Linked DNA regions of Macaca mulatta. The protein of the gene in region 1 interacts with the protein of each later gene in a biochemical or structural test. Links are inferred from orthologs where the notes say so. Each region holds a gene or a part of one and is shown in the gene's direction. Other genes may lie near its edges.

What was found. The genes of interacting proteins can lie anywhere in the genome.
Region 2: the proteins of LRRK1 (region 1) and CDC42EP3 form a complex in vitro, tested with the Homo sapiens proteins (2 studies listed by BioGRID and IntAct, with this or other methods). The link is inferred for Macaca mulatta from reciprocal best matches to the Homo sapiens genes LRRK1 and CDC42EP3.
Region 3: the proteins of LRRK1 (region 1) and PDCD4 form a complex in vitro, tested with the Homo sapiens proteins (2 studies listed by BioGRID and IntAct, with this or other methods). The link is inferred for Macaca mulatta from reciprocal best matches to the Homo sapiens genes LRRK1 and PDCD4.
Region 4: the proteins of LRRK1 (region 1) and POLR2M form a complex in vitro, tested with the Homo sapiens proteins (2 studies listed by BioGRID and IntAct, with this or other methods). The link is inferred for Macaca mulatta from reciprocal best matches to the Homo sapiens genes LRRK1 and POLR2M.

What each region holds. Positions count from the first base shown.
Region 1 is NC_133412.1:91,432,173-91,437,575, forward strand, and holds part of LRRK1 (leucine-rich repeat serine/threonine-protein kinase 1), read left to right. Parts: intron 1-470; coding exon 471-587; intron 588-3,189; coding exon 3,190-4,043; intron 4,044-4,481; coding exon 4,482-4,583; intron 4,584-5,403.
Region 2 is NC_133418.1:87,288,272-87,292,397, forward strand, and holds part of CDC42EP3 (cdc42 effector protein 3), read left to right. Parts: intron 1-2,479; 5' UTR 2,480-2,714; coding exon 2,715-3,479; 3' UTR 3,480-4,126.
Region 3 is NC_133414.1:123,073,659-123,079,061, forward strand, and holds part of PDCD4 (programmed cell death protein 4), read left to right. Parts: intron 1-274; coding exon 275-389; intron 390-3,789; coding exon 3,790-3,897; intron 3,898-4,108; coding exon 4,109-4,219; intron 4,220-5,403. UniProt on the Homo sapiens protein: Inhibits translation initiation and cap-dependent translation. May excert its function by hindering the interaction between EIF4A1 and EIF4G. Inhibits the helicase activity of EIF4A. Modulates the activation of JUN kinase.
Region 4 is NC_133412.1:35,012,774-35,017,802, forward strand, and holds part of POLR2M (protein GRINL1A), read left to right. Parts: intron 1-365; coding exon 366-1,013; intron 1,014-3,621; coding exon 3,622-3,826; intron 3,827-5,029.

The sequences.
Region 1 (5,403 bases):
CAACACTAGCCAAAGTAGGTGCACCCCAGTCCCAGGCAGCCAAGAGATGCTCCCACATCATTTCCTGCTAGAATGAGTGAGAGCAAGGGCTCTGCCTACAGCGTGCTGTCACATGGAAAGAACAGTGAGAAGATAGCATTGCAGCATGAGTCCACTTTGCCGGTACCAGGTGCACATACAAATACCACAGAGAACCTCTGAGAGGCTGTGGCCCCAAATTCCAATGGTGGTTTTCTCTGGGGAATAGATTATGGGCTGTTTTCTGTTTCCTCTTTAGACTATTCTGTCTTTTTCAACGTTTCTACAAAGAACAGAAATACATAAACAACCCACCAGAACGTGTCAATCCATGTAGCTTTCCAAGACCCACAGGGGATCCCCAAGGCTGAGTGCATCCTCATGGGAATGCCTCGGGAAATGCCAGACACTTTCCAGCCTGGGTCTCACAGTGGACCTGTCTGCCTCTGCAGGACCAGAAAATCTACATCTACACCCTCAAGGGCATGTGTCCCTTAAACACACCCCAACGGGCCTTGGACACTCCAGCTGTCGTCACCTGCTTCTTGGCCGTGCCTGTTATTAAAAAGGTGAGGTCAGGGCAAAGGCGGGTATGCAGGTGTCTGATGTGCTTCCATGCCTGGGAGGCGTCTCCTAGCTGGGAACAGCCCAAAGCTGTGTCAGGGTGGGGACTGCAGAGCCACACCTTCTAGTACCACCTGGCCTAGGACACAGCCTTAGAGACAGTGGGAGGAAAGATATCAGATCTGGTCCATCATTAGTGCCTTCTGGTTTGCAAAAACCTAAGTCCTCAGCCAGACTGAGGGCCGAGTGAAAACCCCCTTTCACATGCAAATGCCCTTACTCAGGTGGAATGACTGTTGGTGCAAATGGCACAGCGAGTAGTCATGTGTGTGCCCTTCCCCTTCAGAGGGCAGTGGCATCCGGAGCCTCTTTCCCACCTGCCCAGGCCAGAGCCACCCCACAGCCACTTGGTCACCAGGTCCTGGAGGTCCTGATCTTCTTCCCTCCATCTCTGCCTCCCACCAAGTACTCACCATCTACACCAAACACAGTTTCTCCTTGTCCAGCATGGCCCTGCAGACTCATCTCTTTAACTTCCTAGCCCTGGCCTTTCTAAATGAGACCCCAAGGGGCACTCTCCCCAATAAAGGGCCCAGCCAGCTGTGCTACACCTTGGGATTAGCCCCAGCCTCTGTGAGGCTGTCCTCCGGACCCTGCCGGCCCTAGCACCCTCCCCACAAAGCACCCGACTCTTGTGCTGGGCCCTTCACATCCTAGCACCTCTTCCCAGACCGCCTCCGATTCAGCTCTCAAGACCAAAGGCCTTGGCCCCTCCTTTGAGAAGCTGCCCCTCAGTGGGAGGTAGCTCCCTAGCTTTTCCAGGCTCCTCCGCCCACAGGATTCAGGCACGGCTCAGGCAGTTCTGGTTTCATCCACCCTGAGGGGCCTGTCTGTGCAGTAGGCACCCTCGGTAAATGCACAAGAAGCCTTTACTGGTGTTGCTTTGTTAAAATGTGGTGACTGTCATCATCCAATTCCAGTTTGCCCATCTACAAAATAGGTATAAGAAGAGACAGAGAGAAGGCCTAGCATACCCAAAGGTCTAGGCCGGTGCACTTGGTAAAAGAGCATTATTATTACTTCTGGATGGAAGCAAAATACATGAACTCTTCTCTTCACCCTTCTTCAGTTTCATTTCTTTAAAAAAAAAAAAAAGTATGAAATAAACCTTAGAGTCATTTATGACCACGGCCCCACAGCAGGGCTAGGCAGCTTGGGACCCGGCCCGCACCAGAGCGCAGGAGAACACGACACAAAGTGTTATTGAGGCCACCACTGGCCAGAGCCCCCAGCCAGGGCACCACCTCCTGCACGACCAGAGGGAATAAAGCGTGCTCTGTGCAGGGCCTCCTGTGCAGGGTGTCTGCCCCCTCCGAGGCTGCCAGAGCAGAGCCTGCATTCTTGCACGCGCACGCACGTTCACACCCAGCCGGAACGTGGTGCTCACCGCCCTGGCCGGGGCCTGAGCCAGGACTCCAGATACAGACCTGGAGCCTATTTGCCTTGGCTGCCTTCTTTCCCTAAAATCCTGGGGATGGATTTCGATACGCTTTCTTACAGCATGTTGTCCTGGACAGTGAGCTACGGGTCTCCATTCCATTTCCCTGCACAGCCAGCCTCCTGAGCTCCCCAGCTCCCCACAAGGAGGCTTTCTGCCCTGCCCCCTCACTGGCATGAGGCCCAGCTCCCTGCTCTGCCCTGACTCCAGCTTTGTTCTGTAGACCTCTTCCCACCCCCACCACAGCCGACGTGGTGTCTAGGCTGCGAAGCTGCACTGTATTCCTGGCTCTGCCCTGGGAGGTGCCCTGGGGTGGTCTGGGGTGGGCCCAGCATTCAGCATGGTCCCTGCAACTTTGGCCTCTGCCCAGTGACCTCTGGCGGGTGTAGAAGAGCTCATGCTTCATTGAGAGGGTGGGGGGCACCCTGAGGACCCTGTCAATGTCAGCTCAACCACAGGCATCTCAGATAGATGTAAGCTGGGATGAGGGCTTAGCAGGCTGAGACAGGCCTCCACGAGAGGGTTGAGTAGGAAGCAATTTCTTCCAGAACTAGTTCAGCAAACACATGTCCACCTGGAGCAGGAGCCAGGTGGAGTCACAGGGCCACCAAGATGAAGGAGACTGAGCCCTTCCCTGTGCCAGGCCAGTGCCACGGGGATGCTGGTAGGCTGGGAGCCCGTCCTTATGGAACACTCCAGCTGGTAGGGGGTGGCAGGCAGGGGGCAGTGCACAGACACTTGCCATGCCCACACTGCCGTCACATTAAGCACACCCAGAAAAGGGCGGGCACCAGGTCCTGCCTCTGAAGGAGGCCTTGGTGGCCTCAAGGAGAAGGCAGCTCCCTGCTGCTCGCCCTGCAAGAAGCTGGCACAAGCAGAGGCGGCCCATGTGGTCCAGGTGACACGCGGTCTCACTTGGTGCCACAGGCCCTGCCTCTCGCTGGCATATTCCTTTCTTTGCTGCAGGGATGGTAGACATGGCTCTGCTGAGTCAGAGCTCACTTCCTTAGGAGCAGCCCCAGCCTTTCTAAGAGCTTGGCTGCCCTGAAGCGTGTTGGTGGAACGTGTGAAATGGAAGGATGTGACCCATCCCTGTCTCCTTCCTGCAGAATTCCTACCTGGTCTTAGCGGGCCTTGCCGATGGGCTTGTGGCTGTGTTTCCCGTGGTGCGGGGCGCCCCAAAGGACAGCTGCTCCTACCTGTGCTCACACACAGCCAACAGGTCCAAGTTCAGCATCGCAGACGAAGACGCACGGCAGAACCCCTACCCAGTGAAGGCCATGGAGGTGGTCAACAGTGGCTCTGAGGTCTGGTACAGCAATGGGCCGGGCCTCCTTGTCATTGACTGTGCCTCCCTGGAGATCTGCAGGCGGCTGGAGCCCTACGCGGCCCCCTCCGTGGTTACGTCGGTCGTGTGCAGTTCTGAGGGCAGAGGGGAGGAGGTCGTCTGGTGCCTGGATGACAAGGCCAACTCCTTGGTGATGTACCACTCCACCACCTACCAGCTGTGTGCCCGGTACTTCTGTGGGGACCCCAGCCCCCTCAGGGACATGTTTCCCGTGCGGCCCTTGGACATGGAACCCCTGGCAGCCAGCCACACTGCCAACCCAAAGGTGCCCGAGGGGGACTCCATCGCGGACGTGAGCATCATGTACAGTGAGGAGCTGGGCACACAGATCCTGATCCACCAGGAGTCACTCACCGACTACTGCTCCATGTCCTCCTACTCCTCATCCCCACCCCGCCAGGCTGCCAGGTCCCCCTCCAGCCTCCCCAGCTCCCCGGCAAGTTCTTCCAGCGTGCCTTTCTCCCCCGACTGCGAGGACTCAGACAGGCTACACGAGCCCGGTGCTGCCTCTGACAGGTCTGAGCATGACCTGACCCCCATGGACGGGGAGACCTTCAGCCAGCACCTGCAGGCCGTGAAGATCCTCGCCGTCAGAGACCTCATTTGGGTCCCCAGGTAAGTCTCCCGAGGTGAGGGCACCATCGAGGGCATGCCCACAGAGCAAGGAGACCCCCTGGGAGCCAGGGAGACCCGCTGGCTTCCTTAATGGTCATGTGGGGACCCAGCAGGTGCTGTGCTTCCAAGAAGGTTGGTTCCCTCCGTTGGGAATGGGAGTGATATATTTAGCAAGTCTAAGAGTGGTTGCACCGAAGCTTATTGCCTGCCAGAGAGCTTAAGGTGCCACACAAGGAAAGCCACAATCAACTGTGATTCAGCTTCCACTGGGAAACTTCTCCTCTGCTTTGGGGTCTGTCCCCTCCCCATAACTTAATCCCTTAGCAGAAACTGCATGTCCGTTGCCTCCCTCCCGCACCCTTCTGCACACCGGCTTCATTCCCCTGAGAGCACGGCTACCGACAAAAACGCTTCCCCTTCTGGGTTTTGGTTGCTTAGGCGCGGTGGAGATGTTATCGTCATTGGCCTGGAGAAGGATTCTGGCGCCCAGCGGGGCCGAGTCATCGCCGTCTTAAAAGCCCGAGAGCTGACTCCACATGGGTAAGACTGAGTGGCAGCTCCTTTAGGACCCAGGCAGCAGCATGAGCACAGAAGGCCCCATAGCCAGGTCTTGCACAGTGGCTTTGCTGCCCCTCCATTCTCCCAAATAGTGTATCCACCAACTTGGCTATAAGGCAAAGTGGAAACAAGATGGGGCCCCGCAGACAGCTCCAAGGGGCTCCACACTGGCCATGGCTCCCTGTTTCTGGAGTACCCAGTGCACCTGTAGATCAAGTACCCTACCTAACGAATGCCTCCAGGGCCAGAATTCAGCTGCAGTTGACATGCAGATGCATCCAGGTGATTGATTCACTGTTCTTCCTGCCAAGCAGGAAACCCTACCCGAGGTGTCCACCTGCCCACACAGCACCCTATGGGGACACATGACATAGGCACACCTTGTCATCTCCAAGCCTGGGGTCTCAGCTCCTGCCCTTCCTGGGCTGAGGCATGGTTCAGTAACTGTCTGTGGGTGAGTCCCCCCAGGATTATGCCAGTCTCCTCTGCGAGGGTATGCTGGGCAGGGTGGCCTATCCCGAACATGGTCTACATGGCTGGAGTGATATGAGGCTGGTACCAGCTGCAGCTCCCCACAGTGTTTACACCCCTCACTTTGACTACCGAGCCCCACATGGTAAATCTCCCTTATGAAAAGTCCTCAATTCAAATTGTGTGTGTGTGTGTGTGTGTGTGTGTGTGTGTGTGTGTGTACTTTGGAGCTCTTCCACTTCACACTAGGCCTGTTTTCCTGTAGCGTGAGTTATCCCCCATCCCTGGGCAAGTGGGTTTTTATTTCATAAGAGGGTGGAGAAACCCCACT
Region 2 (4,126 bases), on another chromosome or scaffold:
GTTTTTGTTGAGATGAGGTCTCATTATGTTTCCCAGGCTGGTTTCAAACTCCTGGGCTCAGGCAATCCTCCTGCTTCAGCCTCCTGAGTAGCTGGGACTACTGGCAGGTGCCCCCATGCCCAGCTACTTTTTTTCATAGACACAGGGTCTTGCTACATTGCCCAGGCTGACCTCAAACTCCAGGCCTTAAGTGATCAATTTTTTTTTTTTTTAAATAATTGGAACACCCTACCCTGGGACCTGGCCTTGCATAACCCTGCCTCCATCGGCTGACCCCAGGCAGTCCTGGCATGCCCTTGAGTTGTGGTGGACAAACTGTATCTTTCCCTGGCAGCTGCCTTCCTGGCCATGTGTGCTGAGAACACCACTCCTGTGGGCAGCTGTTCCTCAGGCCACCCAGCTGCTCCTGCAGGCAGTCAGCCACACTGTGCCCAGAGGGCAGGAAGGCTACCTCTGAACAGCAGGGGTCCTAGGCCAGGACTAGGCATTGTATACTCATACAGGAAGGAAGTTCTGAGATTTTAACAGGAAGAACGTGAGCTTTAACTTTTGTTACCACAACAAGACCCAAATTAGAGCTAAAACTATGAGAGCGAGTGTCAGGACCCACGATCATGTCATTGTTGGCAGCTCCATGGTCAGCCCACTCTGCATGAGTGCAAACCTCCTGGTACTTCCTCTGCCTCCTCCCCACACCCAAAGCCAGAGTGGGGCTGGCTGTCTCCTGTGCATTGTTCTCAGGCTTCTCAGGCCTGGGTTGCTGGCCAGCATGCTGACACGCTGAGCTAGCTGCTTCCCAAACTGAGTTAGCTGTTACTGAGCCAGTGGGTGGTGGAGCACAGTTCTTGTCACCTGCCACTGGTAAATGAATTTAAAACTCTTGCTGAAAGGAAAGAAATATGGGGCAGATGCAGACAGCCTCCAGCTGCTACAGAGCAAATGTGGCTCCCTTCAAAACACCAGCTAACCCACCCAGCCCTTGGAGTATTTATCTGCAGGCTCTGCGGCCAGAGGGAGGAGCTCCTGAGGGAAGAGGTCATGGTAGACTCATCTGGGGAGTTCCTGCAGTGGGGAAGGGTTTAGCTTCTCTATGTCAGCATCAGAGGTGGAGGATCATTTTCTAAAGATAAGAGCATCTCATCGGCAAAAGAGGACATTACATCCCCAATGCCTTCTTATAGCTCATGCCCTCCTAATCTTACCATATAGTATGTGCAGGGAGGATGTGTTAGCTTTCTACACTGGTAACAAATGACCACAAACTTGAGGGCTTACAACATTTACCATCTCACAGGTTCTGTGGGTCAGGAATCTGGGTGGGGCTGAGTTCCAGCATCTCACTGAGTTGTGATTCAGTGTGAGCCAGGGTGATGGTCTCATCAGAGGCTCAACTGGGGAAAAGATCCACTTCCAAGCTCCCCAACTTTGTTGGCAGATTTCATTTCCATAGGCCCTCACACAGTATAACTGCTCACCTCCCCACAGCCAGCAAGTCTTCTCCCTTGTCAGCTCAGATGGAATCTCCTATAATGAAACCTAATCAGGGAGTGACCTGTCACCTTTGCCATATTCCCTTGGTTAGAAGCCAGTCATAGGTTCTACTTACAAAGTCATTAACACCAGGAGGCAGATCATGGGGGCTCCCCTCGAATTCTGCCTACTGCAGGGAGGATATAGCCTTATCAGTAATGTTTCAGAGGTGTTCCCAAGTGAAGGCCCAGCCTATAATAGAAAATCACAATGTTGTCTCTTTGAGGTGCAGCGGTTTTGTTCATCTCCTCCCACCTCAAAATGCCTTCAAATCCTGACATCCTCGACAGCCCAATACTTTGCCACAACCCAATTCCAACTCTAGCTGTCTTGTTTATTGGCTATATGTTATTGAGAAAAGGTAACTTTCTGGGGGAAGGGCTTATTCTGAATCTCCATTTTCTTATCTGTAAGAATGTATTCCACTAATATTTTATAGGACAGTAGCATATAAGTTATTGTCACTTATTAAATAATTCCAGTACCTTCCCTTGTAGGACTATTCATTTTATTGCATTAACTTATGTACGTATGGAACTCAATGAAATATCATTAGTCTTGCTAGTATGCACATCAAAGCAAAAGGAAAATGTATTTTAAAACAAGTCCAGTTGTATTTAAGGAGCTGAAATCACTGATCCTATGCTTACAGCGATTCTTAGAATAGAGGAAAATGACTACAACTGTAGACATGTCCAGAAGATGTGTTCATGGCTATGTCTAAAAAGTACTGGTGTCATAGATTTGGGGTTTTTAGGTCTTTCTCTTTCCTGTTTTGTTTTCTCTTTAAGATTAAGGTGAAAATTTTTATCCACTTACTGGAGGGAAACAATAAGTTCGCATTAGTTGGAACTGGCCCTGCCATTATTTACAGGCTCTTGTGAAAAGGGAGGCCCTAGGGCACCCAAATGAGTCTTTAGATTATAACCTGCTTTGGTTTCTTCTCCAGGTTTCTCCTGGTTGTGGTCAAGACTGGATGATGTAACTGGCTCTCTAGCAAGCCTCACTTGGCCATAACCTCAGGAAGGTTCTCTGACCCCATCTCATTTCAAAGCCACTTCTGAAGCCACTTGAAAAAATGATGTGACAGTTCCTATCAAAAAGGATTATTCAGAAACATATACCATCTGTGAAGAAAGTGGCCCCTTTTTCCACTTGCAAAATAGACATTCTCAAATTCCAAAATGCCGGCCAAGACCCCAATTTACCTGAAAGCAGCCAATAACAAGAAAGGAAAGAAATTTAAACTGAGGGACATTCTGTCTCCCGACATGATCAGTCCCCCGCTTGGAGACTTTCGCCACACCATCCACATCGGCAAAGAGGGCCAGCACGATGTCTTTGGAGATATTTCCTTTCTTCAAGGGAACTACGAGCTTTTACCTGGAAACCAGGAGAAAGCACACCTGGGCCAGTTCCCTGGGCATAACGAGTTCTTCCGGGCCAACAGCACCTCGGACTCTGTGTTCACAGAAACACCCTCCCCGGTGCTCAAAAATGCCATCTCCCTCCCGACCATTGGAGGGTCCCAAGCTCTCATGCTGCCCTTATTGTCACCGGTGACATTTAATTCCAAACAGGAGTCCTTTGGGCCAGCAAAGCTGCCCAGGCTTAGCTGCGAGCCTGTCATGGAGGAAAAAGCTCAGGAGAAAAGCAGTCTGTTGGAGAATGGGACAGACCACCAGGGAGACACCTCGTGGGGCTCCAGCGGTTCTGCATCTCAGTCCAGCCAGGGCAGGGACAGCCACTCCTCCAGCCTGTCCGAACAGTACCCCGACTGGCCAGCTGAGGACATGTTTGACCATCCCGCCCCATGCGAGCTCATCAAGGGAAAGACTAAGTCAGAGGAGTCCCTCTCTGACCTTACAGGTTCCCTCCTCTCCCTGCAGCTTGATCTTGGGCCCTCACTTTTGGATGAGGTGCTGAATGTCATGGATAAAAATAAGTAACAGGATGCCAACTTTTTTCCTTTGGGGTAAAAGGTACAAAAACTAAACTAACCACAGTTGAAGAGAAGGGCTTCCGGAGCTGTATTTGCAATTTTGTGATGGGTTTTCTAAAATAATATTCTTACAAAGTATTTTTTTACCTGGTATGCCCTCCTTGCAAAAACAATTTAGGAAAAAACAACACAGCAAAACCTATCTTGGCAAAAAGAGGAAGTGAGTCAGAGCCCATTTTTCAGCAGGCATTGGTGATGTTCGGCTCACACATTGTTTGCAGACACACAAGAAATCTGGCTTGGCCAGGATTGGCACTAGCTATGAAGGTCTGAGCGAGTCACACTGAGGAACTTTATGGAACTTTACAGCACTCCGACATTTTCTGAGCAAGAGGAAGTCAAAATTTATTTAACACCTAAGCCTTTTTGTAGACTCTTTTCTATACTGCTTGGGCTCACCATAGCGAATTCTCCAGTGTTAAAACTTTTCTGTTTTCACATTTGAACTTATGGGTTTTGGGGATTTTCTTGTAGTTCTTATATATCCCTCTATATCTATATTGCAAACTTTTGACTGTCAGCTACATGTTGGTAAGACACAGGCAAAGTATTACTGTAACTAAGTTATTTTTAAAGTTAAAATATATTTTTACG
Region 3 (5,403 bases), on another chromosome or scaffold:
TATATATGAAGTGCTTCTTCTCAGTGTAGATCAGTTATTTTGTAATGTGTTTTGATTTTTCTTGAAGGAGAAATGAAATAAAGCATGAGAATATTAACATGAGGATCAACTTTTTTTGCTCCTTTTTGTTTTGAAAAAGTGTTTTGAATTTTATTTTGCTTTTATGTTTTGTGAAAGATTTAGGGCATATAGGATTTTGTAAGCTTTATCCATAATTTGGTAAACTTTAGGTATGTCCAGCTACCAAACTTAAATTTTTTTTCTTTCTCTGTAGAGCTGCTCTGGATAAGGCTACTGTGCTTCTGAGCATGTCTAAAGGTGGAAAGCGTAAAGATAGTGTGTGGGGCTCTGGAGGTGGGCAGCAATCTGTCAATCACCTTGTTAAAGAGGTAATGATTGGGTATTGTCTTTAACTTAATTTACATGTATTCCTCTGAGTGAAATAAATTGTGGCTACTAGCTGTTATTTTTATGGACAAAAATTAAGTTCGGTCTTACAGCTGTAATTGGAAAATGAAATAATTCTTTTATATTTGACTTTATGAGCTTTTATTATAAATTATATGATAAAAAATGAGTCTGTTAAAAGGGCTTTCATGAATAATTATAAGCAAGCCATCTATGAACTTCAAAGGAATGCCTGAAATCTTTCTCTCATATTATTATTTAATAATTTTCAAATGCTGTTGAAATGAGATTTTCTGTCTTTTAGCTATTCAATAAATATGCTTTTATATAAGTAAATTAAAACTAGATAGTCTTAAATAATGAGTTAGGAATTATGAGCACTAGAGTAGATCAGAGTGTTAGATTTTTGTGAGGACATTCACTACCCATATGCGTGTTTTAAAAGAAAATTGATAGTAATCCCAGTACTTTGAGAGGCTGAGGCAGGTGGATTGCTTGAGGCCAGGAGTTCGAGACTAGCCTTGTCAACATGGTGAAACCCCATTTCTACTAAAAGTACATAATAATTAGTCAGGCATGGTGGTGCGCACCTGTAATCCCAGCTACTCAGGAGGCCGAGGCACCAGTATTGCTTGAACCCAGGAGGCGGAGGTTGCAGTGAGCCAAGATCACGCCACTGTACTCCAGCATGGGTGACAGAACAAGATTGTGTCTCAGAAAAAAAAAAAAAAGCGATTTATTGCATTAAAATGCCAGATTTATTTCCTGTGGATTTTTTTTTTTCTGGCTGTATTGTGGTATTCTGTAACAAGAAACCAAAAAACAAAAAAAAACTCCTTATCTGCAGATCTCTTTAAGAAAAGGCATGCAACTAGAAGATTTGTAGTTCATGTGCTTCTGATTTTTGAGTATAATCTTTTCATGTAACTGTAATTTTGATTTTTAGTAAATCTTTTAATGAGGGGTGTGTGTGTGTATGTGTATCTAGCTTAAGTGTTAAGGAGTTCAAAATGTAGTTAGAGCCCTTGACCATTTTTGCTTTTATATATGTTAAAAGAGATGAGTCAGTGTTTGTAATGTTGTGATTTAGTATCTGTTTTTAAAAATTAAATAATAATTAGAAAAATTGAGGTATAAAAATAGTAAAGATGCCAGGGCAGTTAGGCAGGAAAGATAAAAGGCATCCAGATTGGAAAGGAGGAGATAAAACTAGTTGTATTCCCAGGTAACATGATCTGTATTCAGAAAATTTGAATGAATCCACATTTTTTTAACTCCCCAAGACTGAAACCAAACTATTAACTAAAAAATGAGTTCAGAAAGGTTGCAAGATACAAGATTAGTACACAAAATTCAATTCTATATACAGTAGGAATGAATGATCTGAAATGAAATTATTGCATTTATGATAGCATCAAAAATAAAATACTTAGGAATAAATTTAACAAGAGAAATGCAAGTCTTGTACACTGAAAACTGTAAAACTTGTTGAAAGAAATTAAAGAAGACCTAAATAAATAGAATGATATCCCATGGTTATGGATTAGGATATTTAATATTGTTAAGATGGTAATACTCTCCAAAATTAATATTTTTGGAAACTGGACAAGATGTTTTATGGTGTATGAATTCTCTCTCAAGAAAGAAAATTGACAAGATAAAAAAGGAAATAAAACTACCAGTATATGAGTTTGAGGTTGACATTATATGGATATTTGCTTACATGGAAGGGTTGGATCAAAGAAGACTTTTAGAAATGTATAAATGTATTTGTAATTTATTCTCAGAAGTGCATGGAATTTGATGGGGTATATTTTTAATACTTTTAAAGTTATGTAACAAATGTTAAAAATAAGTAATATGATTTGAATAACAAGTACAGTCATGTGCCACATAATGATGTTTTGGTCAGTGATGAACTGCATGGGATGGTGGTGGTCCCACAAGGTTCTAATGGAGCTGAAAAATTCCTATCCTCCAGTGATATTGAGACAGTTGTAATGTTGTAGCACAGTTACTTTGTTTTTTCATAAATTTAGTGTAGCCTAAGTATACAGTGTTTATAAAGTGCATAGCAGTGTATGGGTAATGTCTTAGGCCTTTACATTCACTAACCACTCACTCATTGAATCACCCAGAGTAACTTCCATCCTGAAAGCTCTATTCATATTGAGTGCTCTATACAGGTGTATCATTTAAAAAATCATTTATACTGTATTTTTACTGTACCTTTTCTATGTTTAGATACACAAATACCATTGTGTTCCAATTGCCTATATCATTCAATATACTGACCTGCTGTACAGATTTGTAGCCTAGGAGCAATAGGCTATATCTTATAGCACTGGTGTGTAGTAGGCTATACCATCTAGGTTTCTGTGAGTATACTGTATGATGTTTGCACCATGACAGTCATGTAACACACTTTTCAGAATGTATCCCTATTAAACGATGCATGATTATGTATTACTTTGTAATTATAAAGTAAATATATTCAAATGCTGTGCTTTAAATATTTACTTACATGTAAATATTTAAATACATATTTACTTACATGTAAATATTACATCCTAAAGCATGACAGCAATTAAATTTTACTTTACCTTTTATGAAAATACATTATAAAAGTTGGAAGGATACTTAAATACGATTTTTTAAAATTCAGTCAGCCAGCATTCAACATTCAGACAACTAGATACGTGCCCACCAAATACAAAGAGGATTTTAACAAAGAACATATAGGCAAAAATATTCCTAGCTGAAGCTCTTGTGCTGAAAAAGTTCTCCCACTTTTTTGAGATGTTCAAGTTTGAGCAGGAAAATCAATACTTGTTTCTTTACAGCTGGAAACTGAATTATTGAACATTTTAGATAATGAGTTTCAAATTCTCAGTTGTAGAGAAAAGAGAAACTGTGTGGAAATCTTTGCCCTGTCTAGTAATACCCCATTATCATCTCTCATTTTTTGGCTCTCAGTGCACTATTAAGAGCATCTTGATAGAAGTGAAATATTTATGCCACTTTATGTTGAAACTTTGTTAGTGCCCTCTAGTGGTATTTAAAATCCCTTATTTTTAGTGGCACACTAAAGCATTATGGTCACAACCCAGGACACGTCCATTATAAACCTACTCATAGATCTCAGTGATTCAGACACACTGAAGCATTGCATTTGAGTCATAATTATGAACCATTTAAAAATTGGGGATTTATTTTTTAATTATGAAAAATTCTGTGATAATAGTACCATGTCCAGTCTATATGTTACTAGCTGTTACCCATTATTTCATTATATTGGAATGAGGGCAAATAATCCTGTAGGCAAGCACGATATTTTAAAAGTTAGGAATTCTAACACATCTCAACTTTTAAATCTAATAGATTGATATGCTGCTGAAAGAATATTTACTCTCTGGAGACATATCTGAAGCTGAACATTGCCTTAAGGAACTGGAAGTACCTCATTTTCACCATGAGCTTGTATATGAAGTAAGATTACCTTGCCATGTCAAAGAGAATTATTAAGTGTTCCTTTTTGTAGCATAGTGACTTATGCTTTTTAAATAATGTACATCCTTTTTTTAATATCAAAGGAGGAAGTGGTTTTTAAATTTTCACTATTACAAAAGGCATCTGATACATTTAGGAGCGGTTTCATATATAAATTAACCAAAAATTCACTCATTGATTCAATTTTTAGGCTGTTATAATGGTTTTAGAGTCAACTGGAGAAAGTACATTTAAGATGATTTTGGATTTATTAAAGTCCCTTTGGAAGTCTTCTACCATTACTGTAGACCAAATGAAAAGAGTAAGTATACCATTATTTTTGAACAACTTTTAGGATTATGCCTTAAATATATGATTGAATACAGATTATGAATTGTCAGTGACTTTTCTTTAGGTATGTTTAGTGTTATTATGCCTATATGTTTTATTTTTTCTTAATGGTAATGTTTGAGGTTTGAACCTTTTGCAACCATTTCTTGGAAAGTAACACTGCAGTGGGTTTTTTGTTTTTTTTTTAACCTACTTTGACAAATGTGATTATGTATTCTACCTCAAGGGTTCGGTTTCTAAGATGTGACAATTTCTATTTTATATCTAGCGAGAAACATGAACCTTTAACTTTTAACAAATTATAAAGTACTTTTTTCCTATTTAAAATTTTATGATTCTTGTTTTAAATGTTTGTGAGGTTTGTGTTTGGCCTGTATTTTTTAAAAGAACATACTAAGTGTATATAGAGAAGTAGATGGGAAAGGAGTTTGCCCAATGTCTGGTGTCTGCCTACAGCTCTTTTAAGAGAACAGTATTTAAAAAAATTTTTTTAGCTATGTAACCAATTTTACTTATTTTTTAAATTTACATTTTAAATTTTAGATATCAGAGGGGTACATGTACAGGTTTGTTAGATGGGTATATTGAGTGATGCTGAGGTTTGGGCTTCTAATTAATGATCTTGTCCCTAAGGTAAATACAGTACCTGATAGGTAGTTTTTCAACTCTTGTCCTCTTTCCCACCTCCCTACTTTTGAAATTCCCAGTGTTTATTGTTCCTATCTTCATGTCTGTGTGTACCCAATGTTTAGCTCCCACTTACAAGTGAGAACATGCATTATTTGGTTTTATGTTTGTGATAATTTTCTTAGGATAATGGCCTCCAGCTGCATCTACGTTGCTGCAGAGGACATGATTTTGTTCTTTTTTATGGCTATGTAGCATTCCATGGACGTATATGTACCACATTTTCTTTGTCTAATCCACCATTGATGGGCACTTGGGTTGATTCCATGTCTTTGCTATTGTGAATAGTACCCGATAAATATACAAATGCAGGTGTCATTTTGGTAGAATGATTTATTTTCCTTTGGACATACACCCAGTAATGGGATTGTTGGGTTGAATGGTAATTCTATTTTGAGTTCTTTGAGAAATCTCCGAACCACTTTCTACGGGGGCTGAACTAATTTGCATTCCCACCAACAGCATATA
Region 4 (5,029 bases), about 56 Mb from region 1:
TAAAATAATAGGCCCATCCCCACACTCCACCCCATCCCCAAATTGTGGGGATTGCACTTTAATGACTGCTGGTTCTTAGAATGTCTTATGTGATTATTACATGCTTAAAATACTTTTGCCGAAATTCTAATTTGCTGAGACAAATGAGGCATATATTCCCTATTCCAGCATTCCGTTGTTTTTTTGTGCTGTTTGGATAATGACCGTTTTATTTGTTTTATTCCTGTTTTGGGGCAGTTAGAAATCAGATATTTGACTTAAAAATCAGCTTTTCTTTCTTTGAAGATAATGCTTTGCCTTTTTAATGTTATATGTCAAGTTAAAAACATGGCTGTAATGTGTATGTATTCTTTTCCATTTGACAGAAAATTCATTTGCAAATTGCCCGACAAAGGTAAAAAGATCTTTGACTCTGTTGCCAAACTGAAAGCTGCTGTTGCAGAACATGAAGAAGTTAGAAGAAAAAGTGAACTGTTTCACCCTGTTAGTTTAGACTGTAAGCTAAGGCAAAAAGCAATTGCAGAAGTTGATGTGGGTACAGATAAGGCCCAGAATTCTGACCCGATACTTGATACTTCATCACTAGTTCCTGGGTGTTCCTCTGTAGATAATATCAAGTCATCTAAAACAACCTCACAAAACCAGGGACTTGGACATCCTACTCATGAAGGTGATGGAGAGACTCCAGAGGTTGAATACACAGTGATTAAGGGCCCAGCTTCCAGCAACAGAGACAGGGTACCGTCTTCATCTGAAGCTAGTGAGCATCACCCGCAGCGTCGTGTTTCAAGTCAAGCAGAAGATACTTCCAGCAGCTTTGACAACCTGTTTATTGACAGGTTACAGAGGATCACCATTGCAGACCAAGGTGAACAACAGTCAGAAGAAAACGCAAGTACTAAGAACTTGACAGACCTTTCTAGTGGGACTCAGAAGAAGCCTCATTACATGGAAGTGCTAGAAATGCGAGCCAAAAATCCAGTGCCCCAGCTGCATAAATTTAAAACCAATGTGTAAGTACCATCGGAAACAGGCCTATAACAGGAACATGATATTTGTTAAACTCAAAAAGTTAAGAGAAACTGGGTGTCGTGGTGCTTGCCTGTAGTCCTAGGCTACTCAGGAGGCTGAGGTGGGAAGACAGCTTGAGTCCAGGAGTTGTAGACCAGCTTGGGCAACTTATAATAAGACCTTTTCTCATAAATAAGGAGAATGCTCTAAGTTCCATGGGCTTTGTATGAGAATTACTTGTATTTAGGAAAGAACATATTGTGGAAACACTGAGACCAGCCTGGCTGGAGTGGAAGGTTCATGCTGAAAAATATTTAGTTTTGAAACTAAGTAATTGACAGGGTCTTAAATAGCACTTGGGGGAATATTAAATTTCAGGACGCTTAGCCAATATTTCATAATAAACACAGAGTTGGAGAGAATTTATTATGATGTCTTTTTTTCAGAACTATTTTTTAGTGTACAGCTCTAATTAGTGTACTATCAAAGTGTACTCTCTTTGATTAGTCTGTGAACTAAGGATAAAGCAATTGCAGGAGCTGATCGGCTTTCCAGCAAAAATTATTTGTATGCTCACTGAATGTAAGCAAGCAGCAGGTGTTGTGGGGACACAGTGAAGTCAAGATTCTTAAACTTCTTTGCCTTTTTGATGTTATACCTCAAGTTTAAAAACATGGCTGTAATGTATACATGTATAATGTAATACAACACCATGTTCTTCAAGGAGTTTCAGAGCTAGATGAGGACACAAGGTTTACACCCTTGGAAAAGAGTTAAGCTACATAATAACAGTTTCAGGGGGAAGGAAGCTGAGGAGAGTTTGAAAAACTGAAAATAGATTCAGGCAGGATAGGCAGAAACTCTCCTTATCAGTTCCTTGCCATAAATTTGTTTCTGAAATTTCAGGAAAAGTAAAGTCTTTTTGAAAATAATTGCTATTTACTTGCAGCAAATGTAACATTCAACTCAAAAGGTACCTTCCTATACTGTATTTACAAGTATGTAACATCAAATACAAAGTTAAATTACTACTACCTTTCTTTGAAAAACAGAAAATCTCTAGTGAAAAGTGCCTAACACATGCTTCTTTTTTGTTAGACTTTAACTCTACCCCAGCATTCATTTTAACCGCAAAACATTTTATTTCTGCCGTATAGAAAATCAGGATTATACTGCATTAATGTGATCAAGTCATCTCTTGTGTACAGTGAGGTGTCTTTCTTCACTTCCAGGATGACATTTTAGGAAACTAGAACCATCATCTAGTCAATAAATACAACAAAGAATACATTAATCCCAGTTCTGTATTACGGTCATTTAGCTGGGAGTGGGAGAGAGGTAAGGGAATAGTGATGAGGGCTACCAAGAATTCAGGAAGTTGAAGAGACAGGGAGCCTTCTGTATAGTTAGAGGAGAACAGGAAAGACAGGGCTTTGAGGAGTCCTTATGCCATAGACAAGGATTTAGAGGGTTCCATGTGAGAAGTGGCTTGGAGGTTGGAAGGTGGGGTCATTTAGTGTCCTTGGGTCCTTTCTGCTCTTCCTTCTGCATACTCTTCTGGTTTCATGTATCACCTGGATGCTGGAGGCTGACCCCTGTCCACCTCTATCCCAGATCTTCCCAGAACTTTAGGTTTGCATAGCCAATTAACCATGAAACTTGACCACTTGGGTGTTCCTAGGCACCTCAGCTTAATCATGTACAAAGTGGAACTTCTGTTTCTTTCCAAGGTAATTTCCATATTTCCTAATAGGACCACTACGTTCTTTGTTTTCTTCCCCTAAGGTATCTTCCATTTTTCTCATCTCCGTATCTGCTAGCCATGAAGACCTACTTATTTCTTTGATCTTCATCTCTATAATTGTTCTTCATCTTCTGTCGAAGTGAAGACTCTCATCTCTCTCGGGCTATAATTGTGGCCTCTTCTACCTCTAGTCTTATTAACTACCAGTCAGTCTCCACTGCTGCCAGAGTGAAATTTGTAAGATGGAAATCTGAATTTGTTACGGAGAACTCTTCATTGCAGTCTGGGCCCAGCCTACTTCCCAGCCTTCTTTCTGGCTGTCTTTTCTGTGTAGCCAGAAAAGCTGAGTCTCTCTACCTTCTGTACTTTCTCTCACTCCCCTTGCTGGGATGCACTTCTCTCCTTATTTAAATGGTAAGCAGTTATTCCAAGACTCTTCAAAGCTTTTTAGAAGCTTTTCTTACAGCCTCCCTGTCTCCCACTAGAACTGGCCATTTCCTAATGTTCCAGTGTATCTTGTTGAGATATCTGCCATAGTACCTCTGGTATTATATTGCACTGAAACTTTACATGTTTCTTTCTTTCTACTGGGCAATAAGCCCTTTTGCAAATGTTCTTTGAATGATACATGAAAAAAAAAAAAAGCTCCAGATGAAATATAAGGTTTGAATAAGGAAGGAAAAGGCAAGAGCCTGTGTGCACACAAACACACCCCTGTTTGTTAGAGCAATAAATACTGGTAAACTGCTTACTATTACCTTTGGAGGAGAGTTAATTGCTGAGGTAAAGCTCATTTGTGTGAATGTTTTAAATGTGTCTACAAATAAAATAGTCTGATTATATAGCACAAGTTTTCTTTTCATCAGGTTACCTTTTCGACAAAATGATTCGTCTAGTCATTGTCAGAAGAGCGGGTCTCCTATTTCCTCAGAAGAGCGGCGGTGCAGGGATAAGCAGCATCTTGATGACATCACAGCAGCTCGGCTTCTACCGCTTCACCATATGCCTACGCAGCTGCTCTCCATAGAAGAATCTTTGGCACTTCAGAAACAACAGAAACAGAATTATGAGGTATTTAGAGTATTATTTTTTTTCTTGTCTGTTTGTTTGGTGCCTCTTACATAAGCCAGAATTTACTCCAGGTTCAAGGAGGAAGGAATGGAATAGAGGGGATTAGGTGCTTCCATGAGCTCAGACCTATGCCACTAGTTTTCAGAGACCTATGCCATTAGTTTTCAGAGTCATAAAGTTGCTAGAACTGCAGGAAATGGCTAGAGATGATCACAGCTACCTTCAACATGAAAGTGGTGATTTGCCAGGAAATGTGGGGAGACTATTGTAGAATTTCGTGTCTTGAAGCTCATGTACCTGCCTGTTCCTGTTAGGATAGTAGTAGCATCGCATCTCTCCCTTTCACCTTGTAAAACCCATGTGACAGCTTCTGAGTGGTGGACTGTAACCCAGACCCCTTGTTAGAGAATGAGGAAAATGTAGTTCCCAGGCTTCCATCTCCTGCAGTACAGGGGAGGGCATAGAAGGAGTGGGAGGATAATGTTGTATAGCCAGCAGACAGTGAGACACTGTTTCAGAGCATAATCCGCAGGCCTATGTGAAGAGAAAAAATCTGCTTTTGGCAACTTAATCAATTTTGCATAGCACTTTGTTTCCATGTGTTTTGCATTGAACTTTAAACTTATATGTTGAGAGTTTGTATACAGAGTAATGGGATGGGAGAAAATAAGTGTGAAGCACCACAGGGGAATAGAAAAGTTTAGAAGTATTTAGTAACAATTTTAGCCTCCAGGAGAACAGTATCCTGTCTCACTTCCTAGGTGTTGCTTAGCTAGATTTTAGTCAGGTACTAGTGTACCAGCCAGTATCACACCAGGCTGTTCAGGAGTTCGAGACCAGCCTGGGAAACATAGCTAGACTCCATCTTTACCAAAAAATTAGCCGGGCATTGTGGCATGCAGCTGTGGTCCCAGCTACCCGTGAGACTGAGGTGGGAGGATTGCTTGAGCCCAGGAGGTCGAGGCTGCAGTGAGCTGCAATCGCACCACTGCACTTTGTATAGTCTGGGTGACAGAGTGAGACCCTGTCTCAAAAAAAACCCAGCAAAACAGGCTGTTAATCTGCCTTGGCTTTTCATAAAAGCCTTGGCATGGATTGGCATTTTCAAGGTGCTCTTTTTCAAAAAACCCATATTTCTTTCTCTCAGTGCATTAAAATTACTGCCTAGTTATGACCGTAGCATTGAGGAAGTGTTTATTGTCT